2 linked regions of the Anolis sagrei genome follow. The protein of the gene in region 1 binds, or shares a complex with, the protein of each later gene. Links are inferred from orthologs where the notes say so. Each region holds a gene or a part of one and is shown on either strand. Other genes may lie near its edges. The genes, in order: CNOT11 and CNOT8.

What was found.
Region 2: CNOT11 (region 1) and CNOT8 share a complex: the UniProt entries of both Homo sapiens proteins name them as parts of the CCR4-NOT complex. The link is inferred for Anolis sagrei from reciprocal best matches to the Homo sapiens genes CNOT11 and CNOT8.

What each region holds. Positions count from the first base shown.
Region 1 is NC_090023.1:103,546,978-103,562,088, reverse strand, and holds the start of CNOT11 (CCR4-NOT transcription complex subunit 11), read right to left. Parts: upstream 8,309-15,111; 5' UTR 7,981-8,308; coding exon 7,530-7,980; intron 3,053-7,529; coding exon 2,888-3,052; intron 1-2,887. UniProt on the Homo sapiens protein: Component of the CCR4-NOT complex which is one of the major cellular mRNA deadenylases and is linked to various cellular processes including bulk mRNA degradation, miRNA-mediated repression, translational repression during translational initiation and general transcription regulation.
Region 2 is NC_090022.1:81,791,876-81,807,483, reverse strand, and holds the start of CNOT8 (CCR4-NOT transcription complex subunit 8), read left to right. Parts: upstream 1-8,957; 5' UTR 8,958-9,272; intron 9,273-9,336; exon of another isoform or gene 9,337-9,499; intron 9,500-15,608. UniProt on the Homo sapiens protein: Has 3'-5' poly(A) exoribonuclease activity for synthetic poly(A) RNA substrate. Its function seems to be partially redundant with that of CNOT7.

The sequences.
Region 1 (15,111 bases):
TTTTTTTTCCAACAATGACATTCATATTGACTTTGGGAAACACAAAATGCTATTAATTTAATCATAGACTCATAATACTTTGAGACTTTTCTGCAGCTTTGCAGAAGGAAAAAAAAAACATATGATTCCACTGGCTACATGCATAAAGAATTTACAACAAAAGTAAAGAACAATGTACCAACTTTTATAATTCCTTTCATATTTTCAGAATTTAGTCCAGACAATTAAAAATCAGCACCAGTACCTGGATTTACTCATTTCAATTAACCGAGTGACAGTGTGATAATTAACACTTTTGGGAACACTTGCACAGGGCCATCATAGTCCACCACTGGAGCAATCATCTGTATATTTCTCTGAGTTGAATCTAATGAAGGCATATGTAATTTTTTTTTCTAAAAAATGATAGTTGCAAATGTGCATTACCGGTATTTGGATAGTCTCCCGTATTCCTAAGTAAAATAGAGTAAAATAGATGCACAAAGACCATTAACCAGTTACAGATTTACAGGCATCTAGGTGCATGGCATATAAGCATAAATCCCTTTCTGTACTGGTCTCAGAGGGCTACTCTCTTGTCCTTGTACTCTGTCCAAAAACCTTTCACATGTAGCATCAGGAGGGCTTTACTCCTGATGCTTTTCGCCAGATGGAAAGGAAAGAAGCAAATTAGACCATAGGGATTCAGCTACTTTGCCTGGAGAAGTAAAAAACATACACTCAATTTCATAACAAACCCACAACCATATTGAGATCAGCTGCTTCCTTTTGATCTGGAATTGCTTCCAGTAAGTTGAAAAGGGGGCTCTCTGGGGAATTGACAGTTGTAAGGAGGATACGGGAAAGCATGTTCAGATTTACACATAATGGGATCTTGACCATTATATGAGAAAGGCATGTCACATATCTCATTTGTCTCTTACTTATGTGCTTTCTAAGAATCCCATTAACATTAATATTACAAGTCAAGCCTCCCTTATCCTAGGTGCTTGTGACCAGAAGTGTTTCATATTTCAGACTTCTTTGGATTTTGGAATACAAATAACTTCGCATGTACTGTATTTGTGACTTTTGAAAGGGAGGGAGGCTGGAGAAGTGCAGATTCACATCAAGTACTAAACTTGGATTCCTGCCATTTCTGAGCATCAATGTCTCTCCAGGGTTGTATCTCGTGCACAACACATGGCTTTGGGGGGGGGGGGGGGACGACTCAGTAACTGCAAAATCATGGAAATCTAAGACTAGTTAGCATGTCACCATGTCACAGATCCTTGCATTTCTCTCCAGCTTCTTGTTCATTCACAACAATTGTGATAACAGTAAGTTTTAAATGATCTTGAAACAAGTTAGTAGAGTCTACAATGACAGGGAGATCTTAGGCCAGACTTTTACCCAGTACAAGCAAACTATGGCCAAAATCAAACAATGAATACTTTTCATATTTATCGTTACAAAAGACCTAACCCGGGCATGGCCGGGTACCTAAGCTAGTTCAAAATAAAACAACTGGAGATGTAGTTTAGTACTTATTCATCAATTCCAGGAAGTCTGCTTTGATTTGAAAGGAAGGGTTCTGGAAAAAAATACTGATTTCATTTCACAGGTCCTTAATCAACAAAGTCTTCTGTCAAATAAGCAGTACTTAAGATAGAACCTTGCCAAATATGTTTGGTTTTTTCCACAGGCAGGGATATATCATTGGACACAGGTTTTAACTGGTAAAACAAGTGGTACAATTGCAAAAAGAATGAAACGTTTGGAAACAATATGCAGATCACATGAAGAATATTTTGCAGTATGGAGAGTAAAAGCACCAAATTTAATCAAAATATATTTCTAATGGCACTTTGCTTTTGAAAGTGGTCCAACTGCTATGAATGCTGTTATCATTCCAGCACCACATCAAAACATTGCTTGTTTTTCACCTAATTAATTTTATTCAATTTGCACATGTGCTATGATTAGCATTCTTCAACATTATTTTAGCTAGTTCTAAATTGCATCTGTGGATCATTTATGGGTCTACATAAATGATTTAATAAGACAGGACAGATATATTTGATTGATAAATAAGACACCTAATATCTGCTTTAACATGACATAATGCAACATTCCAGGTGTAAATTTGTACATCTGTAAACAGACAGTCCCCAGGACTTTATACAGTCAGTCCTATGGACAAGATCGTCCTATGGACAAGATAGGTTCTGTAGGTTTGTTCTTAAGTTGAATTTGTATGTAAGTTGGAACAGGTACATTTGTTAAGTGTAATTTGAACCAAATTTTTTTAAAGTTTTCTCTTCCTGTCTGTACTCCTGTTCAGAAGATTCCATCTCACTTTCTGTCCCTGTGACAACTGGATTCTGAAAAATTTGAGTTACCATGGAAACAAGGATTGGTGATAAAGCTTTAGTCAAGATACCTTTTTCCCCATGATAATTCTTTCAGGAGTGCATTTCCCTTCTCAGGGGTATGTTTCCACTGCCTGTTGTCTCACCTCCATTCTTAACTAGAAGTCAGATATCTGTAACTTGGGAACTGCTGTGTATGTTTCATAATAAATAGAGTATTAAATATGCCACTTCCAAAATCCATAGGCTATCTTATAGGATCACGCATAAATATATCTCTATGCACTCACAGTGATCATCATGCCCCCACACCAAACAATTAAAAAGCCTCAATTTTTTAAATTATGGATTGGCATAATTTGTTGTCACCTAAATGCCACAAATGATTTGTTTGATCACAAAAGTCAATGTACTTTTAAAAGTGACTTACGGAGAAAGGAGTAATCCTTACTATCTTACACGCATACACTCTCCTACCCAAAATCGACATTTCACTGTACAGCAACCAAACTGCAGCAACACAATTTATTTCTTACCCGCCAAAGCCAGCTGGAGGCCACTTATGTCTACAGATTGGCCCATATTTCCTACATCCATTGATGCAATCTGCCGTGGAGTCTTTTTGAACAGCTCTCTCGGGGGAGCCAACATCAACTGGGAAAGAAAGAATCTCTCTGGCGGTGTTATTGGAGGTAAAAAACCTGCGAAGAATAATAACAGTCATACCACAAAAGAAGTATTTTACACGTACTGAAGTGTCAAATCACAGTTACTCCAGAATTGCACAGCAGAACAGTGACTGTTGGTAGTGGCACCAAGGGACTCCCAAGAGGGAGGAAAAATTAGTGAAACCCGCCTGCCTTATTTTCAAAACCAGGAAATTCTAGTTAACACAGTGGAAACCTTGGGTACATTCAACTATTTTCTATGAATGTAAGAACTTTGTCTCTTTTAGAGCAGGAAGCTCTGGATGCAGCTAATTAAAAAGATCAAATAAAGGAAGAAAACAGTTTGGATGTTGCACTAATAGCTAGTTTTTCACAGGCAAATTATGTGTGTGTGAACATAAGGGAATAACAAAAAAGAACTACGAAGGTACTGTTTGGCTATAAATTAAGCTAAAATATCTAGACAGACTATACATGTATACAACTATATTTAGCTTTTGAGGGATCTTAATACAGTATTTTTGTAAGCTATATTTCTCATCTCGTTTACCCTCATTTGAGAAACTTTCAGAATGACTTTATAATAATTGTCACTGCTTAATATATTTCTGATACTAGTGAACAATTGTTTGTGATGTTTATCAAACCCATCCTTACAATTCTGCAAAGAAAATAATCATTCTTTTCCTTATACTCGTAGATGAAGTACTAAGTCAAGAAAATGGCAACTTACTCAAGGCCATCCAGTTCTAAAACATACAGGTGCTACCACATACAGGAAATAAGTGCTAGCAAGCTGCCTTCTAACTAATTTAATGGTTGCTCAAAACTAGAACTGGCCCTCCAGGAATCTTCCATCTGTTGGTAAAAAGGATCACAAAGAGGGGGGATTTTAACGCCTCCTCCCATGTCCCACCTACACTATGATATTTTAATGACTGTATGTGTTTTTATGGTTGGAAACCGGGCTGAGTCCCTCAATGAGGTTGAGAAGTTCGGTATAGAAAACTTTGAAATAAATAAAAATAAATAAATACTTAATTGACCAGAGAGATACATCTGATTACACCTCACACATCTACTCCCTGCTACTCCTTCATAAATTATTCGAACAGAGAAGGGAGTCATGACTGAAGGACAGTTTACCCTGCTTCCAACCTGCCCTGGGTGGTAGAAAGAAAGAAACAGGAAGTAGACCAACCACTGACCACGGCATTAACTACTTTTGTCAGAAAGTGGCCTATGACTTTAAAATTATGCACTCAAACATTTCCACTGCTGGCCTGATACAACTTTATGAGATACAGACAGCAGTGCTGTGCAATTATATATAAATACAGCTGGAAAATATCTATTTTGCTGAATGGGAATTCGACAAGAACATTTTAACTGCCTATAATTAGCACATATGAATGCTTGTGTTTCCCCTTACAAAGCAATACAGTTTGTAGAAATGTTTATTATATCCAGAATTGTAAAATATTATGGGTGTTATACTCAGGGGGTCCCCCTGAGTATAACAAAATAGAAGGCCTTGAAATAGTGCTTCACTCACTAGCCATTTTCCTCTGCTTGGTAATTTAACCAGACTTATTTAATAAATCTTATATATTATGGAAGTGTGGTAGACAGAACTGATACTTAGCAGGCATTGATAAATTGTCTTGTTTGACCAGAAAAAGATCATAAATGACATTTCTCAGACTGGAAACTCCTTTTGGACTTTTTGCAAAGAAAGAAAATGCTTTGGTAACTTTTGAGTACGATTATTAAAAAGAATTTATTATAGAAGCTTAGCATATGCTTATTCTAGACAGAGAGATTATATGAATAATCATTTTCTTCTCCAAACAAGTGTTCTGTAGCATTTGGAGACTCCCATTAGTTATAAGTTTTATAATTGTGTTGAATTTCAGACACGGAGTCTGAATTTTTCATCACGTTGTCCTACCATTGGCCAAGAATTGCCAGTGCCATGTTGGTTTTGCAAGCTCCAAGAGTTAGCAATACATACAATATGTCTCCTTATTGGCCAATATTTTTATAGTTCCAAATTATATACGAACATGGTACAGTATCCATTATCCAAAATGCTTGGAACCAGCAGTTTTTTTTTAATTTTGAAACATCTGTATTTGCTCATACATACATGATGAGATATCTAAACACAAAATTCATTTATGTTTTATATATACCTTGCACATATAGCCTTAAGGGAATTTTATACACAAGATTGTAATAATCTTGTGCATGAAATAAAGCCTGTGTACATTGAACCACAAGAAAGCAAAGGCGTCTCTATCCCAACTACCCATGTGAATAATTTTGTATATTTCAGATTTCCAGATAAAGAACATATATAGTATGTATAACTTCTGAAAATATGATTGGAAATCTTTTTTTCTTTTCTCTACCTCTATTTTCTTTTGTTTTTTCTAGATATTTTTCAGTGTAATTTTAAAATCAATGAAGACAACAGCAGATAAAGCACTACTAGAGAAACCTTCTGTGAAGCACACTGCAACAACTATATTTAATTTTTCATTATTGTTATAGAGGTCTTTCAGTGTAGTGTTTAAAATCAATGGCAATAATATCAGTAGATAAAGCACTACCAGGGTAACCTTCTATGAAGGCAAACAGAACAATATCTATTTACTGAAAAGATGAAGATAAGTCATCTGATTTTTTTCCCTTTTTCCTTATTTTTCTCTTTTTTCCCTTTCCTTTTCCAGATAACTTTCAGTGTAATGTTAAAATCAATAACAATATCAATAGTGACACCACTATCAAAGAAGTCTTCTGTGAAGGCACACACTGTCAAATTAAAACTGCTGAAAAGACAATAGAAATAATCTTTTTTCTTTCTGTATTTCTTTTTAAAAATGTTAAGATACATTTAAGTGTAAAGTTAAAATCAATGATAATTTTAAAAGTGTCTAGAGCGACTTGAGAAACTGCAAGTCGCTTCTGGTGCGAAATAATTGGTTGTCTGCAAGGATGTTGCCCAGGGGACGCCTGGATGTTTTACCACCCTATGGGTGGCTTATCTCATGTCCCCGCATGGAAAGCTGGAGCTGACAGGAAAGAGCTCACCCTGCTTCCCCAGATTCGAACTGCCAACATTTCAGTCAGCAGTCCTGCCAACACAAGGGTTTAACTCATTGTGCCACAGGGGCTCCACAACAAAATTAGCATCACTAGATAAAGCATGACTGAAAAAACATGTGAAGGCACACAGCAGCAATATCTCATTGCTGACAAGATGACAGTAATAATCTTATTGTTCTCCTTCTTTCCCTTTTTCTTTCTATTTCTCCTTTTACATTTTACTTTATTTTTTTCTAGATATCTTTCAGAATAATATTAAAATCAATAATTCAGCAATACATACTAGAGAGACCTTTTGCGAAGGCACAGACATCAAGATTTAACTGGTGACAAGACAATGCAAAGTATTTATTTATTTATCGTGTCAGAAGCGAACCAAGGTTACAGTTGTAATGTATTTAAAAAACGCAAACAAAGTTAAAAACTTGGCATTATACTAAATGTCCTTTGACCAGTAGCTGGCCACTTTGAGTGCCTTTTATTTTCCACCCCACTTTTTTCTAGTTCTCTTTTTCTCATACTTATATATCTTTCAATATAATGTCCTTTTTCCTTCCTTAAGCTCTGAGAGGGGGGGGGGAGGTAGTTTAACCCCCCTAACATTGGTCATGATTGGTATATATGAGCCAGCTTTCTCCAGACCTATTGTGGGTGGGATTCACATGCTTCTTCAGATGTGACTGGACTACAACTCTCATCTTGCTGTATCAACCCCGCCCCCAGAGATGCAATCGGTGAAACCCAGGACTGCTGACCAAAAGGTCGGCGGTTTGAATATTGGAGGTAGGGTGAGTTCCCATCTGTCAACTCTAACTTCCCATGCAGAGACATGAGAGAAGTAACACATCTGGATGTCCCCTGGGGGCAACATCCTTATAGACGGCCAATTCTCTCACACCAGAAGCAATTTGCAGTTTCTCAAGTCGCTCCTGAAACGATAAAAAAGCTAAACAAGAAAACAACCCACAAGTATTTTAATTTGGATCACGAGGGATATGTGTGCCAAGTTTGGATCCATCACGCAATATAGGAGCACGTGTGGTTCAAACAAACAAACATCCATACCTAGCTGAGGCCTGTACCCTCCAGGTGCTTGGGCCTCCAACTCCCAGTTGGTCCAATGGTGCAGAATTCTGGGAGTTGGGAGGCCAGATCAGCTAGAGCAGGCCTGGGCCAACCTGGGCCCTCCAGACGTTTTGGACCCCCAACTCCCACCATTCCTAACAGCCTCAGGCCCTTTCCTTTTCCCACTCTGCCGCTGCGGCTGAGGGGGAAAAGGAAAGGGCCTGAGGCTGTTAGGAATGGTGGGAGTTGGGGTCCAAAACGTCTGGAGGGCCCAGGTTGGCCCAGGCCTGGGTTAGAGGGCCACAGGTTGTGCAGACCTGAATGGGTGGCTTACCTGAGAGCGGGGGCTTCTCGCCGTCGTCGCCGGCGCCTCCACCCCCCGCTCCGGCCGGGCCTGGCCCAGCTGAGCCGGATCCCGCGGATCCCGGGGCGGCGCTGGCGTTGGGCTGGGCGGCGGTGGCGGGGGGCGCTCCGGGGGCGGCGCTGGCGCGCTCGGGCGGCGCGGGGTTGAGGAGGTGGGCGAAGATGGCGGCGAAGGGGTTGGCGGCGAGGGGCTCGGTGCGGTACATCTCCCAGAGTAGGTAGAGGGCGGTGAGGCGCTGCGGCGGCGTGGGCAGCAGGTCGGGCTGCTGGAGGAGCAGCACTAGCACGGAGCCCACGCGGAAGTGCTCGGCCTTGCCGAAGTAGTGGTGGAAGGCCGTGGAGAGGCCCTCGAAACTGCCCCCGCCCGCCTCCTCCGAGACGATGCTCAGCAGGCTCGACAGCTCCTTCGGCGAGAGGCTCATCTTCTCCTCAGGGCAGGGCGGCTCCAGTCCGAAGGAAAGGCCGCCGCGGGCGAGAAGGCCGCGGCCGGGGACCGAACCCGCCGCCTCTGGGGCTCAGCCGCCCTCAGAACAACTCGCACGGGCCCCGCCCCCGGGCATCCAGCCTCGACCCACCCCCTCTCCCTCTCCCTCTCTTTCTCCTCACGGCCTCTTCCTCTCCCCTCTTCCTCCTTGCGCGCGCTCTATTGTTCAGCCTCTCACCTTCCTGCCGTAAAGCTACCCCCCACCGCGCGTTTTCAACACTGTCGCAAAATTAAAGGCAGAGGAGCGGGAAACTGGCCCGAGGGCGGGACGGAGGGAGGGAGGAACTATCATTCTCTCTCTCCATGGGCCAGATTGATTTTCGCCGAGCCTTGCCCATCTGATTGGTTCTTCCCAGCTCGGATACTTGAGGGAAAGACTGGATTGGCTGCTCGAATTTGGAACGTCAGCAGGAGGAAAGGGATTGGCCGATTCCTTTTTCAGGCGGAGCGCTTTCATCAGATGACCCGAGACATGTGTCGCCTTACAACAACAAAACTTTATTTCTATACCGCTCTACCACCCCTAGGAGCTGTCTTCATAGACCTGTCAGCAGCTTATGATACTGTCAGTCACCGCCTCCTCCTTAGAAAAATGTATAATATCACAAAGGACGACCACCTCACCCGCCTCATAGGAAACCTGCTACAAAACAAGAGCTTTTTTGTTGAGTTCCAGGGCCAGAGAAGCAGATGGCGGAAACAGAAGAACGGCCTGCCTCAGGGGAGCATGCTCGCTCCATCCATGTTCAACATCTACACAAATGACCAGCCACTGCCAGAAGGGACAGAGAGTTTCATCTATGCTGACGATCATGCCATTACTGCTCAAGCAGGAAACTTTGAGATGGTTGAACAGAAGCTCTCCGATGCTCTAGATCAGGGGTCCTCAAACTTTTTAAACAAAGGGCCAGGTCACAGTCCTTCAACTGTTGGAGGGCCGGATTATAATTGGAAAAAAATAGAAATTCCTATGCACGCTGCACATATTTCATTTGTAGTGCAAAAAACACTTTAAAACAATACAATAATTAAAATGAAGAACAATTTTACCAAATACAAACTTATTAGTATTTCAATGGGAAGTGTGGGCCTGCTTTTGGCTGGAAAGGTAGGATTGTTGTTGTTGTTGTTGTGTGCTTTCAAGTAGTTTCAGACTTAGGTTGACCCTGAGCGAGGGCCTGATAAATTACTTTGGAGGGCTGTATCCGGCCCCTGGGCCTTAGTTTGAGGACCCCTGCTCTAGGTGCTCTTACTGCCCATTATGGGGAAAACCCACTGATCCCTAATCCATCTAAAACACATACATGTGCTTTTCACCTCAAGAACAGACAAGCATCCTGAGCTCTGAGGATTACTGGGAAGGAATCCCACTGGAGCATTGCAGCACACCCAAATACCTGGGAGTCACTCTGGACCATGCTCTGACCTACAAGAAGCACTGCCTGAATATCAAGCAAAAAGTGGGTGCTAGAAACAATATCATATGAAAGCTGACTGGCACAACCTGGGGATCACAACCGGACACAGTGAAGACATAGGCCCTTGCGTCATGCTACTCTGCTGCTGAGTATGCATGCCCAATGTGGAACACATCTCACCACACTAAAACAGTAGATGTGGCTCTTAATGAGACATGCCAGTGGTGTAGGAATGTCTGCGCCCTACACCATTGGAGAAATTACACTGTTTAGCCGGTATCGCACCACCTGACATCTGCTGGAAAGTAGCAACCAATAGTGAAAGGACCAAGGCAGTGACATCTCCGGCGCATCCTCTGTTTGGGTATCAGCCAGCACGCCAACAATTTAAATCAAGAAATAGTTTTCTAAGATTTACAGAGACACTCGCTGGAACACCTCAGCAAGCGAGAGTCCAAAAGTGGCAGGCTCAAACCCAGAACCTCAATCAATGGCTGAAACCAAATGAGAGACTCCCCCCTGGGCACACAGAAAACTGGGCGACATGGAAGGCGCTGAACAGACTGCGCTCTGGCACCACAAGATGCAGAGCCAACCTTAAGAAATAGGGCTACAAAGTAGAATCCACGACATGAGATTGTGGAGAAGAGCAAACCACAGACCACCTACTGCAATGCAGCCTGAGCCCTGCCACATGCGCAATGGAGGACCTTCTTGCAGCAACACCAGAGGCACTCCAAGTGGCCAGCTAGTGGTCAAAGGACATCTAATAGAATACCAAGTCTGCAAATTTTGTGTTTTGTTTGTTTGTTTGTCTGTTTTTTAATGCAATACAACTGGTTTGGTTCGCTCCTGACATTATAAATAAATAAACCCCGAGGGGACTCAGAGCGGTTTCCAAGTAACATCATCAATACATTCAAAGTAAACAACATAAAATTAACAAGACAATATAAGCATAAAAATCACAATAGCACATATATATTTAAAATAATCCTGCCTGTTCAAGGCAATTTAAAAGGCCAGGCCAAGGCTAGTGCAATTTGTAGAGGGCCCAGGAAATTAGGTAGAGTCTATGGCTGTTCATTTCCAGGGCCTAATAGGAGGAAGTAACCTGGGTACTTGGTAGAAAAAGATATGACCATATTCAACAGTATCTGGGGCTGAGCTAGAACTAGTCGTCCTCAAAGTCTTGTTTAAACCACCAGATCTTCAGGCTCTTATGAAAGGAGAGGAGGGATGGGGCCTGTCTTACTTCTCTAGGAAGGGCGTTCCAGAGGCGGGGGGGCCACCACCGAGAAGGCCCTCTCTCTCATTCCCACCAACCGTACTTGTGACGGGGTGGGAGCGAGAGGAGGGCCTCCTTGGAAGATTTTAAAGTTTGTGCCGGTTCATAGAGGGAGATGAGATCGTGAAGATCGGGGCCCAGTGTTTCTCAATCTGTGTGTCCCCAGATGTCTTGGCCTTCAACTCCCAGGATCCTAACAGCTGGTAAACTGGCTGCAATTTCAGGTAGCTGTAAGCAAAACACCTGGTGACCTACAGGTTGAGAACCACTGCCTTTAGAGCAAGCATGTTCTGCCAACATAGCAGTTTGAAAACATGCCAATGTGAGTAGATCAATAGGTACCACTCTGGCGGGAAGGTAACAGCGCTCCATGCAGTCATGCTGGCCACATGACCTTGGAGGTGTCTATGGACAACGACGGCTCTTCGGCTTAGAAATGGAGATGAGCACCAACCCCCAGAGTCAGACACAACTGGACTTAATGTCAGGGGAAAACCTTTACCTTTACCTTACCAAGAGCAAGCATGGGCAAACTTTGGCCCTCCAGGTGTTAGGAGTTGTGTGAGTTGAAGTCCAAAACAGCTAGAGGGCCAAAGTTTGCCCATGCCTGCTTTAGAGATTGGCATTCTCTTTTCCATACAGAAAGTCAGGGTTGAAGGATAATAACACTATGTAACACGAGTTTTGTTCCTAGGTTATAAATGTTGTTTCCTGTTTGGTTCTATCCTGGGGAAAAGGTAGCGTATACATTAATAAATATGGATGCTGCTTTCTCTTTTTCTTATGTTTTTTTCCTGCTTTTTAAAAACACTTTTCCAAGATGAGGAAACAAATTTAGAGGGGAATCGAAATAATTGCCCTAGGTTTATTTTATTACTTTAGTAACATTAAAAAGCTTCATTTATAACTTGCTTAGCATATTAAAATGGTACTGTTTGGTGTGTTCATGAAATTTAAAAGCCTTACGTTCATATAAGCAAAATTGTGAATTATTAAAGAGTTATAACTCTGTGCCACCTAAACAGATAATAATAATTTACTACATATAAGACATATAACCGGCCTGAGTCGCTCGTCGGAGGTGAGAATACCAGTATATAAAAGTTCTAAATAAATAAATAAATAAATATAAATACGTAAAAATAATTTTATATTTTAAATTTTAAAAATTAAACAATATTGTTTGATTTTAACCAGTTTTATCTGTGAGCCATCTTGAGTCGGATTTGCACGCATTATTCGCCAATACATCACACAGTCCTTGGGAAGTGTCTGGCATGTGATCAAATACAAAAGCCAGTGGAATGATCTTGTTTGCTGTGTACTAATCTTGTTATTAATCTAATGATGATGATGATGAATTTATTACCCGCCTCTCCTTGCGGCTTGAGTCAGGGTACACCATTATTACAACAAGAGATAAATCGCTATTAAAAGACATACAAGATACCCAGAGTTAAAATATAAATTAAATCCATTGATAAAATTTAGATTAAACTTCACAATTTAAAATTTACTGGGTAGGCCTACCAAAAGAGATGGGTCTTCAATTTGTCTTAAATTCCAATGTGCTCTGGATGTTGCCATCTAGAAAATAGGAAATTATAAAACAGAAACCACACGTTTTGTAAGATATAAAATTAAGTATCATTCTGATACATTCACTCTCTTAAGAATTAGGCTACCACAGTAGCTTGTTTACATATTTAACTCAGCCCTGAGAACACAGCTTTTCAATTGTGTGTTATGCAAATTACATAACACTAATTGTGGACAAAATTAGCTCGTTAAATAATTAGTGTCTTTGTCAAAATACTAGCCTCTAATGAAAACCAGGTTTGTTTCTGTAAAATAAACTTTTGCCAATTTTTAAAATTATTTTTGTCCCCAGTGTCCTCTAGAGGATATTTTTGCCACCCTGGGCCAATTCTGAAAGGAAAATAAGCTGGAAGCATTTCCACTCACTTATTATTTAAAAGTCCTCTTCTGGGCTTAAAACGCCTGGGATGCACAACTTAAAAACATTGCAAAAATGTCCCATTCATCTCTAGGGAAGAGATAATTTGGGGAGTGAGGGGAGGAATTGCAGCCCTCCAAGATTTCCTCTAGGGCAGTTTCTCAACCTGGGGGTGGGGGTCGGGACCCCTGGGGGGGGTCACAAGGGGGTGTCAGAGGGGTCACCAAAGACCATCAGAAAACACAGTATTTTCTCTTGGTCATCAGGGTTCTGTGTGGGAACTTTGGCCCAGTTCTATCACTGGTTCAGAATGCTCTTTGATTGTAGGTGAACAATAAATCCAAGCAACTACAACTCCCAAACGTCAAGGTCTATTTCCCCCAAACTCCACCAGTGTTCACATTTGGACATACTGAGTATTTATGCCAACTTTGGTCCAGATCTGTCATTGTTTGAGTCCACAGTGCTCTCTGGATGTAGGTGAACTACAACTCCCAAACTCAAGGTCAATGCCCACCAAACCCTTCCAGTATTTTCTATTGATCATGGAAGTTCTGTGTGCCAAGTTTGGTTCAATTCCATCGTTCGTGAAGTTCAGAATGCTCTTTATTGTATGTGAACTATAAACACCCCAGCAACTACAACTTCCAAATGACAAAATCATCCCCACTCCCACCCCACCATTATTCAAATTTGGTCGTATTGGGTATTTGTGCCAAATTTGGTCCAGTGAATACATCCTGCAAATCAGATATTTACATTTCAATTCATAACAGTAGCAAAATGATAGTTATGAAGTAGCAACAAAAATAATTTTATGGTTGGGAGGTCACCACAACCTGTATTAAGGGGTCATGGCATTAGGAAGGTTGAGAACCACTGCTCTAGGGCTAATATGTTGGTTATGTGTATTCGTCAGTTTGCTCTGTAGCAATTTCATTTGTTTTTGTATTTCTGACTTAATAATTTTGTTTTACAATCATATATACAAAACACTTTTATATTTGTATTACTCTTTCCTCACCTAGTATGTGTTAGGCAGAGCTAGCTATTTCTTGTAAGTTTTTATGCACATTGGTAGTGTTATATAGGCAGAGTGTGTACTCGATTGTATACGTTTGGCAGAGCTAGCTATTTCTTGTGGGTTTCTATGCACATTGGTAGTGTTATATAAATTGGTGATTATGATGACTATAATAACCCATCTTGGATGCCTTTCAGTTAGCTTGTTTTACAAGAAAAAGGAAGTGAAGAAATAGCACAGTGTTATCACTACCTCATAATGCTATAGGGCATTTAAGAAGGAAACTGGAACTTCTTTGCTTCACCAGGAAGCGGTCTACAATGGTCCAAATTCTATTTTGAGGTGCTGGAGAGAGCAAGACATATTTAGTAATTCATAGAGGCTGCTAGGACCTGCAGAGTTCATCTGGCCCTCAGTGCAGATGCCATATGGTAGCCTTCATTTTGGGGGTAGAACAGAAAGAGAATGATAAATGAAGTCATAATTTCTTTTATTTTTTGCATCTTTTATGCCAGCAGAACTGTGTTCTGGAAGCAAATAAAATGCTTGTGATACATTTACATAAAATCATTACCACTGCAGAACAACTGTGGATAAAGTTTTAAAAACATTTTATGCCATTTGCTTCTTTATTTGCTTCTTGCTTCATGGCTTCTATTTCTACTTCTTGTTGACAATATTTTATAAGTGCCTTGAGTAGCTTCTTGGATCATTTTTCTCTTCCAGTATATTGTTCCACATCCAATTCTTTAGTGCCTTTGAAGTATGAAGTATGTCTATAGTGTGTCTATTTTCCCCTTCATCACATGATAGAGGATGCTTTTATACAGTACTATAGCAGCAAATGCATTTAATAGGGAATTATTGATTTTCCCTAGCAGCCCTGATATATGAACACTGCAGTCTTCATAGCTAATATAAAGCATTACATATATTTTTAGTTTTGAAAGGAGTTTATGATTTAGGGTGACTTTAAAAGGACACTATCATGGGATTTTCTTGGCAAGTTTTAGTCAGGGGGCGGGGGGAATGTGACCTTTAGCCTAAAGTCTGAGAAAATGTGACCTTTGCCTAAAGTCACTTGGTGGGTTTCCATGGCTGAGTGGGATTTGAACCCTTTTCTCCAGAGTAATATCCACTTCATGGATAACAGAACACATTTATACTGTACTCCATTTCTTTCTGCAGCTTTGAAAACTCCAGTAGTATATTTGAAATTCAAAAGAAAATATGTAGAAAAAGCAAGATAGCAAGGCAAGGCATACATTTTCTATACTATAGTGGTCAGTAATAACAATATTGATATAAAACAGACGAATTCTGGCATTGTTGTGATTTTTTTAAATGCCTTGAAACACGGTATGCACTTTTATTGTGTGAGT
Region 2 (15,608 bases), on another chromosome or scaffold:
ACTGAACTCTATAAGATTCATTTCTGAGTAATTGCACAGACCACTAAATGTTAAGCAAGATGAGCACCATAATTCCCTATATATGTAAGCTGCTCTAAATCCCCCTTGGGGTGAGAAGGGCAGGATAGAAAGATGGCAAATAAATAAATAAATAAATAAATATGCTCAAATATGAATTCCAAGTTCACTACTTGTTCCCAACTAAACAAATAAGCAGACACAGCATTTCAGTCATGATATCATTCACTATTCACAGTCCCCTCGGGGAGATAGGGCAGGATATAAATAAAGTTCATTATTATTATTATTATTATTATTATTGTTATTGTTATTATTATTATTATTATTATTAACAATTCATGACAGGCACACTTTCACTATAGAGATAAACGTTTATCTCAAGGTTCTCTCTCAAGCATACAGTTTCTTTCTTTTATTCTTAAAATTCAAGAAGTCAGCAAAAAAAAAGAAGCAAAGAAAGCTGTGTCTTACTATTTATTTATTTGCTTCACTTATACACCGACATTCTCACCCTCACATGGGGACTTCAAGGCAGCTTACAACTCTGGCAAGATTCAATGCTGTTTAAAACATAACCATAAAACATATCCCATCAATTAAACAATTAAAACAGTTAAGCAAATAAAACACATAGAATAATAACTGATTCAAAACATATAAAGCGCACAATACCATTCATCCATAATACTTGCTCATATTCCTTATTAAGCCTATGTCAAAATCCGTAATAGCTTCTTCTTCATCAATTTCCTCCTCTCTTTTTTACCTGCCTAGTTTGTGCTTAGCTGCAGCTATAGAGAGTTCGCACTATCTCCAGTCTTCCCAGAAACTGTTTCTGCTTTTCCTCTCTCCTCTTGTTTTTACTGCTTTCGGTATGATAGCTGTTGACAGGGCAGGAGGGGCGGGCTGTAAGGAAGCAGATGATTCCTCTTGACCTGCAAACAACATGCATGAAGCTAGAGCCAAGATCATAATTGGGGCTGGCAATTGTGTAATCAATTAATAATGGATTATACAGGTAGATTACAATAATTTACGACAGACTTATTAAAACTGTCATAGGGCTTAGTAACCTCATCAAAGAAGCAGCAATTCACATTGCTCTGGGGCCTTTCCACACAGCTTTATATCCCAGAACATCAAGGCAGAAAATCCCCCAATATCTGCTTTGAACTGGGTTATCTGAGTCCATACTCAGATAATGTGGGATTTTCTGCCATGATATTCTGGGATATAAGGATTGTGTGGAAGGGCCCTTGGTTGTGCTTAAACACCACAATATCCGCATAGGAATTTTATGAGGGCTTCCACATTGTCTCTACCCCTCTCATATATAACAGTTCAAAGATTATCAGATGGCTTGAAATTTGTTGGAAACTATGCTACCATAACAATTGATAATGCTTTCATGGGTCATTTTTCTCAGTTTATGGAGTGACTGTGGGAAGGAAGCTGTCTCCACCTTTGCAGGATGGGTGATTTTACCCCCCCCCCCCCCCCGCTGGCCAAATTATAGTTTCCTTGCAGAGAGCTTTTAGCTTTGAGGGCCCACCTAGAAGCAGGCAGTGTAAAAACATCTTGACTCATTTTCCCCCTTTATTCTCTTTGTTGCCATTGCCTCTGTGGCATTTTAATAGTATCCCCTCCTTAGTGCTGCTTAACCAGTGTGTTTGTCTGCTGGCACAGAATCTTGGGTATTGTTTTCTGGGTGTTCTGTACTCAGTACTTGGACGGGAAAACAACAGGAAATATTATGGAATCTCCAGGAAGGTCAAGGAAAGAATTTCCATCTAAAAAGCTGAAGAGTCTTTGTTGCCTGTCTGCAATGGGCTACAGGAGCCAGTGGTGTTTGACTCAGGCATCTTCTTCTATTCCTACAGAATAATGTCAAGTGGTAAAGGGGGACACATTTACAATCTCTTAATCCTCTTCAATACCCCCCCCCAAATCTGTAACACTGGTAGCAAACGCCACTTAAAGGGATGGTGCTGCTGAGTTTGCATTATATGCCAAGTTGCAGATCTTTAGGACAGCATTTTTTACATTCTCATTATTCATTTCTTCTATTCTTTTACTGTGGTCTTACAGTCTTGCTAAAGGGATACAATACACATTCAGTCAAGAATCACATAGGATAAAGGAGGGAGGGAGAGAATGAAACCATGGAAAAGAACACAAAACAGATGAAGTTCACTTTCACCAGACAGCCTTCCCTAGTACAATAAGTAGGGGATTTTTTCTCTTGTTTACCTACTCTAAACCTCAACAACCAGACAGTAGGGCTACATTAAATCTTTCTTTCTTACTCTCATTGGCTGTTTTTGGCCCACTACCATGTTTTCCTAATATTTTAGCCAGTATGTGGGAGGCAACTAAGCCAGCATTAAAAATCAATATTCCTTCTTCTGATGTGCAAGAAGTAAAAGTACATCACCTAATCCCATCTGATTTTAAAAGCTAAGCAAGTTGTGACCTGCCTAGTACTTTGATACCAGGTAACAAGGTAATTCAAGGAATCGCCAGGCACAATCACAGAACTGGAAGGACCTCTTGGTTCAACCCCAACTAAAACATCTCCAGCAGGTACCTGCAAGAGATCCAGAGACAAGTTGACGTGCTCAGAGAAGAGTAAAGGGGGTGATAAGATACGGAGGAAAAAAACATACAAGGAGCTGGGCATATTTATCTTGATGGAGATGAGATTAAGTGTTGTGGCGCAGCTGGTTCGGAGTCAGCTGCATTAAAATCACTACTGACAGAAAGGTCATGAGTTCAAAGCCAGCCCGGGTTGGAGTAAGCTCACGACCATTTGTTTAGCTTGTTGTTGACCTTTGCAGCCCAAAAGACAGTTGCATCTGTCAAGTAGGAAATTTAGGTACCACTTATGCTGGGAGGCTACTTTAACTAATTTACGACGCCATAAAAATCTCCAGCAGCGTGCAAAAGAATGAGGAAATACTCCATCGGTGTCACAAGTGGACTGTGAAGCAACAGCTCCCCTGATGGCTGGAATTCGAACATATGCTCATTAAACTGGAAGCTAAATAGCCTCTGTGTGTCTGTCTATATATGTTGTGTGTCTATGGCATTAAATATTTGCCATGTATATGTGCATTGTGATCCACCCTGAGTCCCCTGCGTGGTGAGAAGGGTGGAATATAAATACTGTAAATAAATAAATAAGTAAATACTTCAAGGGCTCTCACGGAGAGGAGAGTGCAGAGGATAGAACCATATCAAATGGTCTCAAATGATAGGATAGTAGATTTTGACTTAACACTAGAAGGGACTTCTTGACAGTGAGAATGGTTTGACAAGGAACCAACTGTCCCAAGGGGTGATGAGTCTTCTTCTCTGGATGTCTTGGACCCATATCCATGTTTTAATTTCCTGCTAAAAGAGAGGAGGGATGACAATGATCTAATTTCCCCGGGGAGTGAATTCCACAGGCGGGGGGCCACCACCGAGAAGGCCCTGTCCCTCGTCCCCACCAATCTCGTTTGTGACAAGGGAGGGGCCGTGAGCAGGGCCCCTCCAGAAGATCTTAAATTCCTAGGCGGGACGTAGAAGGAGATACATTCAGACAGGTACGCTGGGCCGGTGCCGTATAGGGTTTTATAGGTCAAGACCAGCACTTTGAATTGTGCTCGGAACTGAATCGACAGCCAGTGGAGCCGACATAACAGAGGGGTGGTATGCTCTCTGTATGATGCTCCAGTGAGAAGTCTAGCTGCCGCCCGCTGGACTAGTTGAAGTTTCCGAACAGTCTTCAAAGGCAACCTCATGTAGATTGCGTTGCAGTAATCTATTCGGGATGTAACAAGAGCGTGGTCAGATCAGACTTCCCAAGGTACGGGCGCAGCTGGCGCACAAGTTTTAATTGTGCAAAAGCTCTCCCAGCCACCACCAAGACCTGGGGTTCCAAGCTCAGCGATGAGTCCAGGATCACTCCCAAACTGCGAACCTGTGTCTTCAGGGGGAGTGTAACCCCATCTAACACAGGCTCACTTAATCACTTAATGTTATTAACCAAGAACTTGTATTCCAACAGGAATGCTAAAATAATAGTTGGCATTTCTGGCTCATTAACTGATTTTGTCTCGGTGAATAAAGCAAGGATAACTGTTTCCATCATAACACTTTAATTTATACCTGAACTACATAATCCCACTATTTCCTGGCGCTTAATTCTGTCCGTCCTCAATTGGGACAAAGCTGTCTTATTTTATATGCAGATAATGTGGTTTAATTCCACTTACAGGTCTGAGAAGGCTGCTCTTTACGCTCAGCACCGTTTGTTCTTAAATAACTGAACATTAACTATACTAAAACAAAGGTGCTAATTTTTGGAAAAGGACATCCTGTTCTCAGTGGTCATGAGATTGAACAATGCATGGAATTTAAGTTCCTGGGCATTCTTTTTACAGAAAGCCACTCCTGGAAGCCTCATATAGAAGTTACTAAAGCAGTAATCTTGAGATCTGTTGGAGCAATCTTTAGATTTTTTTCCACCATGTAGGGGGTCAATAGGCCTGAAAATATTCCAGTTCAGTCATTGCCCTGATTGTGTACAGTGGCACTGTCTGGGGATGGGATGACTTTCAGGGCCTTCCAAACAGGCCCTATCTTCCAAGATCTGATCCCAGGTTTTCTGCTCTAAACTGGATTATATGAGACCGCGCTGCCGGATAATCTAGGCGAAACAGAAAACCTAAGTTCAGATTCTGGGATATAGAGCCTGTTTGATAGGGCCCTCAGACTCTCAAAAATGGAAGCTCTTCAGAATACACGAGTTTTAAATTGCATTTAAAAAAATAACAACAATTGAGACTAAAAAAGAAAACATTTCTTGAGAAATTGCAAATACTTTCATCTGGTACATTGCAGCCCTAGTTCAGGCAAAGGTCAGTTTACCTTCTATTAGATCTCACGTTTCATTTTATTTAACTACTGGAGAATTTTGAAAGATTTGCCGGAGTTTTCCTCAAAATACGTTTTGAACAGCTATCAAACTGCAGTTTGGAGTTCAAGATATAAAAGGTTGCTTCAACTGTATCCTACTCTGCTTGACAATTGTTCTATCTTGAATTCTAAAGTATTGCGAGTATGGTTTTTCACCATGGTACACAACTGGACAGACGGGCCTTAATAACAAATTTCTCAAAATGGCAGAGACTATAATTTGACTATCAAGGGGCTTACCTGGCTAAGCTTATACTTCCAAAGTTAGGCAAATGCTTACAGCCCTTCGCTTTCAAGCCATGCCTACTGCTATGATTGATGGCAGATATCCTTGTATTCTTCTGATCCTCTATTTGTGGAGCCCTAGAAATTGATGATTTGTCCTGTTATTTCCTCTTCTGTTCATCATATTCTTAACCAATAAGCAAATTTTTTGGATCTTTTCTAGCTTATTTATTTTCTAATAATATTTCAGAATTTTTTTTAATCTCTTGTCTGATATTAATTCCATGGTAACTTGAAAGGTTTCTTTTTTTGCCCTGGCTGAGATGAAAAATTAGGCAAGATTTATCACTGATATTCCAACCAATTCCTCTGGGGATGCTTTTACAGTATTGTTTATATTTAATGTATGCATTGAATTGAATATTTTGCATATATTTTATGTAGTACTTTTATACTGCTACATTAAATATTGTATGGGAGTGACTTATGGTATAATATTAATAAACTACTTATGATCATAAGTGAAGACATCTGCCCTTGCACTTTGCTACTCTGCTGCTGAGTATGCATGCCCAGTGTGGAACACATCTCACCACACTAAAACAGTGGATGTGGCTCTTAATGAGACATGCTGCATTATTACGGGGTGTCTGCGCCCTACACCACTGGAGAAATTACACTGTTTAGCCGGTATTGCACCACCTGACATCTGCCGGGAATAGTGAAAACCAATAGTGAAAGGACCAAGGCAGTGAAATTTCCAGCTCATCCCGTTTGGGTATCAGCCAGCACGTCAACGACTTAAATCAAGAAATAGTTTTCTAAGATCTACAGAGACACTTGCTGGAAACCTCAGCAAGCGAGAGTCCAAGAGTGGTAGGTTCAAACCCAGAACCTCAATCAATGGCTGACACCAAATGAGAGACTCCCCCCTGGGCACACAGAAAAATTGGCAACTTGGAAGGCGCTGAACAGACTGCGCTCTGGTACCACGAGATGCAGAGCCAACCTCAAGAAATGGGGCTACAAAGTAGAATCCACAACATGCGAGTGTGGAGAAGAGCAAACTACAGACCATCTGCTGCAATGCACTCTGAGCCCTGCTACATACACAATGGAGGACCTTCTTATAGTAACACCAGAGGCGCTCCAAGTGGCCAGCTACTGGTCAAAGGGCATTTAATCAACTACCAAGCTTACAAACTTTGTGATTTGTTTGTTTGCTTTTTTAAAAAATTCAATACAACTGTTTGCTTTGCTACTGACATGATAAATAAAGATCACAATTAAAGAAATCTCTCACCACTCCATGTTTTGAATTGCTACTACACTTCACATTCCTTCACCCTTGCCTTGGAATATATCTCTGTCCACAGAGATTTCACTCCATGCACTGCAGTTTACAGAAGCTTATGCCAGAAAATTCTTATCTAAGTTTCAAAGGTGTTTCTGGATTCCTTTGTATATTTTTCTAATAAATATGTTTAAGCAGGGATAAAGTGAAGATTGAAACTCTGGTGTTTAAGGAGTAGGTCAAGAAAAATAATTGAGCTGAAGTTCCTTGGGGAAACAAAAGGGCTTAAGCCTTACCGAAGGAGGTAAGATGAAGGCCAAATCAAAGCACCACAGAAGAAAGGCTGAGACAAAGGTCTTCAGATGACTGAATATCCCAGTAGTGCTCATGTTAGTAAAGCAGCAAATCCATTATGGCCTTTTATTTCAAATTTTATTATTTATTTATTTATTTCACAGTTTTCTATACCGAGCTTCTCAACCTCACTGAGGGACTCAGCCCGGTTTTAGAGAAACTATCAAAGGTCCCTTACACACAACTGAATAAAATCCCACATTATCTGCTTTGAACTGGAATATATGGCAGTGTGGACTCAGATAATCCCGTTTCAAAGCAGATATTGTGGGATTTAAATTTTGGAATAAACCCCAGTTGGATTAACTATTCTACAGACATTGGGTCCACCATATTCTACTGTATGGCCCTAAGAAGTGCATGAAAAAGTCAGTCCAAAAGAGAAATTCGGGAGAAGGAGGAGATTCTCAGCATTAATGTTAACATCATGAAGAATGTTATCAAGAGAGGACAATGGTGAGCCAAGCAGCAGGATCTGCAGAAGAAGAAAGTGTGTGTATGAATTACTGTGTTGCAAATTGATGCATGTCTAAAAAGTGTGTCATCAACATAAAATGTTCGGAAAGCTCTGCCTTAAACAATTTATCCCCCCAAATCACAGATTGGTTTTATAAATCCTTTAAACCTAGAAACAAATTCTTTTATTTTAAAAAGGATAAGCCTTTTAGCAAAGAGTGCAACAACCCTTTGGAAGTAACTGAGAATGAATCTCAACTGAGCATTTCCAAAGGCTAGGAATGATAGTTGCCCACCAATTTCTGATGGTCCTTGTGAAGTCTTGGCTCTGCCTTCTCCTCTCCTCTGTGTTAGTTCTCCCTGTATACAGGCCTTCCCAATAGTGTAGAGACTTTTCTTTGTATTCGTTTTTGCGTGAATCTTAAAATCCCCCCACAGGCCAGTCTTAGCTGGTCTATTTCATTTCCCTGTATAGTGCTCTCTTGATGGACTCCTCCCTTTTCTACAGGCTTGTGGCGTTGTCTGGTAATCCTAGGCCAAGGAATCCAAAAACAGGCATTCTTAGCACCTGGTGCATTTAGCAGTATTTTTATATACTACAGTCCAAAGGACAACAGAAGCTTTTGGTCAGCCTAAGCTTCACAAGGAAGAAGATTGTGACAGTTCACTACTTTACATCAGAGGCAGAAGATGCCAGAAATATGACTGCAACCAGTAAGTTCTCCTTTTGTAATGTATTGTTTTAAGTTACCTAATGATAGTCCCGAGTGGAGTTAACTCTTTTATTCCTCTTGTTTGTAGTAAACTCATTTTGGTTATCTTTTCACTTTGCCTAAAGAGCTTCTGTCTGCTAAGGGACTTAATCTTAACAGAAGGTATCCGATAGCCCCTGAGTAAAGACAGACAATAGTCTTCCCAAAAGCTCAAGTATGCCATCACAGTCCCATTCATGTTCCCCGCCCGGCACAGAAAACGAAATTATGAAAAGGAAGAAAGAAGAGGGAGAAAAAAGAAATGTGAGAGCTCCTTTTTATTTTCACAAGCGTTTCTGTGGGATATAAACCCACACCTTTGGATGCAATAAAGGTAATTAATTATCTGGCTTATTCTCACTCTGCCCTGCATCTAAATAAGTGGTCTTATATATATATGTGTGTATGTATTTGCCCCCTCCAAATTACTTAAATATGTTGCCATCTTTCTTGCTTCTCTCCCCCTTGTTATGCTGCAAGAGACTAACAGGGCCACTTCCTTATAAATCAGGCAGTCCTCTCCCACATAGCACACTCTCAACATTAAGGGTTTATGCCCACATTAATAAGAGTACCCAGGAAAGAAGTTTTAAATGCTACAAAACACTTTGTCAGCAGAGATAACCGGCTCCTTCTCCGTCGCCACTCCCACAGAGCCGCCTCTCAGCCTGGCTTCCCCACGAACCGCAGGCTGCTCCAGTTTCAGTCAGACCAGAAGAGCATGCGCAGTAGCGAGAAGAGCGTCCTTTGAGGCGGCTCCACACGCATGCGCAGTAGGAAGAAGAGCGTCCTTTGAGGCGGCCCCACACGCATGCGCAGTAGGAAGGAAAGCATCGCTTGAGGCGGCTCCACGCACATGAGTAGTAAGAAAAAGCGCGTCCTGTGAGGAGATTCCACACGCATGCGCATTAGGAAAAACATCGTCCCTTGGGGTGGCTCCACACGCGTGCGCAAACAGGCGCGCGCTTCCCTTGCGTTTCCGGTGCCCAACCTTGGGAGGGTCGTTGCTGCTCTCCAGGGCGCATGCGTGCGGAGAAGAGGCAGCGGAGGAAGCAAAACAAAGGCGACAACAAAACATCCACATCGCATCACCGAGTGATGGGACGGAGGTAGCCTAGAACGGCCTCCTCCTCGGTTCCCCCCTCCCTCAGCCCCAAACACAGGCGACGCGAGAGCGAGGACGGGCCGGCGCGCGCCGTTTTCTTCCGGTAAGGCGGCGGAAGCGGCGGCGGCCGCGGGGTTTCCTGAGGCGGGGAGGGAGCGAAAGAGCGGGACGGACCGGATTTCCTGCTCGCGGTCTTCCTTTTCTCCCCGAAGCCTCCTCGGCTGGCTGCCCTTTTGCCTCATAACGTGGCCCAGAGGAAGGGAGAAAGAGAGCGTGCTCGTTCCTTGGCGGGATTGTGCTTTTCCCTTCTGCCAAAATCCCCCTTCAGAAGTGAGAGCAGGCACCTGGCTCAGCCCCTCATGAATCAATTGGAAGGGAAACGGCGTGTGTGTGTGTGGTAGTGGGGGGTGGGGGGGGGTCGAGTTTGCAGAGGAGACAGTCCTGCGAATCCTTCAGTGGAAGGAGGAGGAAGGCCTCCATGTTGCAAGGGGCAAGGGACCTAAGCAGGGCCGGCCTAGTTCACACTTGGGTGGGAGGCCGCCAGGGAGGCGTCTTAGGCTATAATTCAGGGGAAGGAACTGGGGAAAACACCTCATTCCTTGCCTAGGAAAACCTTAGGGAATTCATTGAGCTGATGAGCACCTTGAAAGTACATTTAATCACATGGTATAGTCCCCTAAAAGGATGCAACCGTAACAGATTATTCTACTGTATGTGTATAAATAGGACAATTATCTATACTTGGATGGGAAACTAATAAGGAATAGCGGGTGCTGTAGGCTATATTTCAGAGGAGGGAAATGGCAGAAAACATCTCTGAATATTCCTTCCTGAAGAAAACCCTCTGAAATTCAAAGAATCAGCGGGCAACTTGATGTGTATGTATATGCACATATATATGTGTATGAGTTTCCTTTTTATACACATAAGATATCCCTCAAGAAGTATATAGCCTAACAAGTTATTGTACCATATCTGTATAAATAGGTCAGATATCTCTTTGTTTGGGTGGGAAATCACTAAGGAATAGCAGGCACTATAGGCCATGTTTCAAAGGAAGGAAATGGCAAAAGACATCTTCAAATATTCCTTGCCTAAGAAAGACCTATGAAATTCATTCCATAAGTCAACAGGAGAGTTGAAGGCACATACATGTAAGGGATTTGAGCCAAAGAGGGATGCCTTTCCATTCCTGGTTTTTGAGGAGCTTTACTGGGCCTAGCATTGTGTGCTTGTGTGAATATTGCTTATGGCCTAGCCTCTCCTATTGTTTCCCTTTCTTTGCTTCTGAGCAGCACATTTAGGTATAGTGCAATCATGAAGGAAGAAGCAGACACAATTAGAAAGGTGGTTCAGGTGGAGTATCCCTGATCTGAAATGCTTTAGACCAGAAGGATTTTGTTTCTGATTTTAGAATACCTTTGTTTACATCTACGTATATAATGAGATACCTTGAAGATGACCCCCAAGTGCTAAATTCGTTTATATTTTACAGACATCTTCCACACATAGTCTGAAGATAATTTTATATACATTTTAATAATTTTGAGCATGAGCTTTGTACATTGAACCACCAGAAAGGTTTTGCTATCTCAGCTACTCATATGGACAATTTTGGAGCATTTCATTTGGCTGCATAGGGGATATGCAGTGTGTATTTACAGAGTTCTCTCTTGCTAGGTTTTCGTGTGAAGAGGGAATATGAAAGTACATTCTTATCATAATTTAAAGTAAAGCACCTTGAATGAACATGTTGGGAAGTAGTCCGCTCTTTTGTTCAGTGCAAATAACATTTCTTTTTTGTCATTTAAGTAATCGATACAAAAAAGCTTCTTGTATACAGGGCATAAACTGTGTAATTGTGCATACAAATAATTGTTTATAAACTAGTGCAGTATTTGTTCAAAAAAACAATTCCAAGTGATAGCGCATAGAGAAGTACAATTTCTCCAGGTTCTCCAGTGCATCAGCTTCCAAGATAAGTTGATCATAGTCATGTTGAAAGAACTACGAATTTTTAGCAATATATTTTCTCATGTAAAAAAAATAGAATTTTCTTTATTTGTGGGTTTTCACTTTCACAAGGGTTTTATACCCATTACCCTAGCAAGTGTGGAGGATGATTGTTCTCTTTTAACAATTTCATAGATATTGTTGATGATTTAAAAAAAATAAAATTTACATATATTTTGAGGGCAGTCCTGTACATGTTTACCTGCTCAGACATGGGAATCCACTGGTGACCTTGAACAAGTCACACACTCAGCCTCATAGGAAGGCAAGAGCAAACCCTCTCTGAACAAGAAAATTCTATACTAGGTTTGTTTTAGTGTTCTCATGATATAGAAATCATTTGAAGGCACTCCAAAACAACATATCTCAATTACATCGGAGATTGCAAAGCAGGAAGCAAATATCAGTTCACAAGAATATAAGATTCACTGAGATCCTTTAGTAAAGATAGTACAATCCCAGAAATGCAGAAATGTCAGGAATTTAAAAATGTCTATGTCTTCAATAGACAGACATATACAGACATTACTTTAAAATATTCTGTTTTCACATTTCGAATGACTAAAACAATTGTCAGATTCTTGTTAGGAAGCTATAGATTCATGGGCACCATATTTATAGTGTTACACAGTGAATCCCATTCACCCCAATTCCTACTGGCTGGGTAGAAGGCCCGGCACTTGATGGAGGTCTGTGATCCAACTGATTGGAAGCAGTGACTGATGTTCTCATTCCTTCTGTAAGCCATCTTCATTGAGACAAGCAGAAGCAGGATCTCTGTTGCAATATCCTAATGCTGGAGATTGCTTGGTTCTTGTTTTTAAAAGCATTGAATGCTTTCCAAAAAAATTAAAATGTTCATTGCTTCCCTCCTCCTCAACCCCCAATTGTTTCTTTATTCAGGTCCTTCTTTGGCAGGAAGTTCTGTGTTAACCTTATCCAATTTTCTGATTCCCCCCTGGGCTTTTAATCTGTATTGTGAAAGGCATGGAGGATAAGAAAAGGCAGTAATAAAATTCAGACTGAATGCAGTGTTTCCTGATTGTAGAAAATGAAAGACATTACACTCAGGATATGTTTTTATATTAAAAATGTCTTCATATATGGGGGTTCTCTTAATATGTGGCACAACTGAAACAAAACTCTTGTTTCACGCAGAAATTTGTGACAACTACAATCATTATATTCAAAAGATTCTACAAAACAATACGCAATACAGCACCTTTGGCTAGTTAGCTATTGTATTCAGGAGATTAGCATGCCTCAAGGGCATTGATAAAACCAGAACTGTTTGATGCTGTAAATAAATTTCAACTTATGAAATCTTTTTAAATACGCAAATTAAACTTTGTGTGGAGAATTTTAGGGATACGTTAATCATGATCTGCCATTGCTCTTTCTTATAAAGTAGTTATTCTTAGCCTAGTGAAGACATTCTTTTCTGAGAAATTAATAATTAGATCTCAGCATCTTATTTGAGAATCTCAGTCATACAGTATCTATAACATAAGCACTTTATTGGATCCAGGCAGCATCCTACTATTCTTTGCTACCACCACAGGGTCACAAACAGCTATAGTTGGACAGTCCTGAATTTCAACATCCCTCTTGGCAACCCCCTTTTTTTCCAACAACACATTGTCTATATTTTCCAACAGCAATGGTACCAAAGTTCATTTCATATGGTATCTGTCCTTGAACACTTCCCAACTGTATATCTAAAGACAAAACCATGTAGAATTAATTTGGTTGCCATAAGTCAGCAACAACATGAAGGCACACCCCCCCCCCCAACATCTAAAGAATGTGTATGATGTCAGTGACATTTATATTTAGGTAGTCATGTCCTCCTATGGACTACACATAGTGCAAACTCGTATCTCTTCTATTCTAATTGTAAAGTTACCCAGTACAGTACTTCGTGTAAATAAACTTGTAAGGACATTCTTTTGGTCCAAAATCATGTCAATGGCAAGGTATCTTATAAGACATAACTTTCCTGTTCCTTTGACCAACACCATTTCCCATGATATTTGAAGAACTATCAGTCCAAGAGCTGAATACCTTGTGATATCCATGATCCTTTGGTTTGCATATCATCTTGTTTCTCCTGGTCAGTTATTTTGATCTCAAGAGAATAAATATTCTCTGTGACAGCCATAACCCCTGTGCCATGAAAATATAACCATACTTTTAACACTATCTGAATTGTTTGACTAGATCTCTCTCTCTCTCTCTTACCCCCTGGTTGGTGTTTTTTCCGTTATGTTTTCAAGACGGGGAGGACTGGTTTCACCTTTCTTATCTCTTTATTAAATTCAAAGAGGTCATATGGTGGCAGCTTATTTCAGCACTTGTTAATGGTACATGAACAGTAGACTTAGTTATACAAAAACGGTTTCTAGCTTTCTAATGTTTAGCTGAAACTAAATGCCCTGCTGTGGCTCCTTTCAGTTTCTTGTAATAGTTAAGTGATACATTTTATTTAATAATGGTGAAATAATGTTTGTTTTTTATTCACATGCAGTCTTAACTTGTCTGACTGCTTCCTGTTCTGATGCTTTTGTTTGTTTGTTTGTGTGTGTGTGGGGGGGGGGAGGCAACATGACTGTGGCAGTTTTTCCATTGTGTTTGTGGTTACCTCCATGTTCGGTTGGACTTATGTCATAAGTAAAAGGAATTTGGTACCTGTAAAACATGCTTGCCATAATAGCTAGAGAAGCTGAACTGATAAAATTCCTAGTCAGCAATCCAATTTGTACAGTATTAGTCATGATTAGGATCATTGCACTGCTATTGCTGGATTGTGTTTTGAGTGTCTTGAAAACTGGAAGCTGTTACGATTTTTTGTGTGTGAAAACACCAGTGTTGTTTCTGGTGTTTATTGTAGACATTGTTCTTTACTATATGTCACAAACTGCAATGTTACAAGTTGCGACTTTTCTTGTGCTGGAAAACACAACACAACAACAGATCGGTGTGAGGAGCCCCAAATTTATGACACCACCATCAGTCAACTGTTACTCACTTACTTACTTAGGTGATCCCTCATTGGCCGAGTAGGATAATCCTCTAGGGTGGGTCCATAGGTGACTATGGAGTCCTATTCTTGATCTGCATCGTCTCCCACAGTGAGGGCATTGGTTTCCAGGTGGAAGGCGGTCCCGGCCAGGGTTGGCTTGATGCGCCTTCCTCTTGGCACGTTTCTCTCTTTCGCCCTCCATTCGTGCCTCTTCAAATTCTGCAGGACTGCTGGTCACAGCTGACCTCCAGCTGGAGTGCTCACAGGCCAAGGCTTCCCAGTTCTCAGTGTCTATGCCAGAGTTTTTAAGGTTGGCTCAGTCAACAGTACCCCTCCCACAGCTGTATTTGATTTAATTTAATCAGCAGTTTTGTATGTAGCTGTAGCCTTTTATAGATGTGGCATAGTAGGTGCTTATATTGGATCCAGGTTAAGTGTCATTTATCCCAAGTGCTTGGGACCAGAAATGTTTGGGATTTGAGGATTGTTTTTTTAAAAAAATGTGAAATACCTGTGCTTGCATATACATAATGATATATTCTGCAGTTGGGGCCAAAGTCTAAACATGAGTTCCCAGAATCCACTCACCTGCTTACTGGTAGTAATTGATTCTGCTCAACATACCCAGCACAGGAAAGGTTGGTTTGCCTCTTTCCAAAAGGAAGAACCACAGAAAAGTTCTTGTGTCATGCAAAACCCGAGACAGATTCAGAGAAATGTGCCTTCTCTCCTGCACTGCAGAAACCCCTGTAGTTTATTTTATTGCTTGGATGGTAAAGTGTGATGATGGCTAGCTACCAATAATGGCTAGTTAGATAAGTCAGAATTTATGGGCGCTTGGTTAAACACATATTAAGGAACCAAAAAAAACATGCATTGTCCTAATCCTGACCCCTGAATATAAATTAATGTGTTTACTGTGTTTAATGAAACAGAGCAGAGGGCAGAGACAAAGCAGTCTGTGGAAAATAAGCATTACATGTTAGGTTGACCTAGTGCAGCAAATTAACAGTGCATGTTTATTGCCTTGCAATGTAGTGAATCATACTTTTACCTACATAATGTTTATTATCAGCCCCTCGTAAATATCACGTAGGCATTTGAAAAACATTTCAAGACTTGTTTAATGTATAAGGTTAATTGTAGGATACTGCAATTATTCCAAGAAGTATTAGAGTCATATCCTATCTTTCTCTATTTTTTATTTTAACTTAAATTTTGTTTTGAATTTGTGTAGTGAACATATTCAAAACACAGCCAAATACACCTTTTTCTTCCTCACCTCCTTCCAGTTCCCAGGTATTTTGTCGTCTTAATCAGGTGAGGATCCTTTTAATGAACAGATTGTAAATAGGTGTTTCAGTTGCTTCACAGAAACTAATTAATAGTACAGAAAGCTGACTA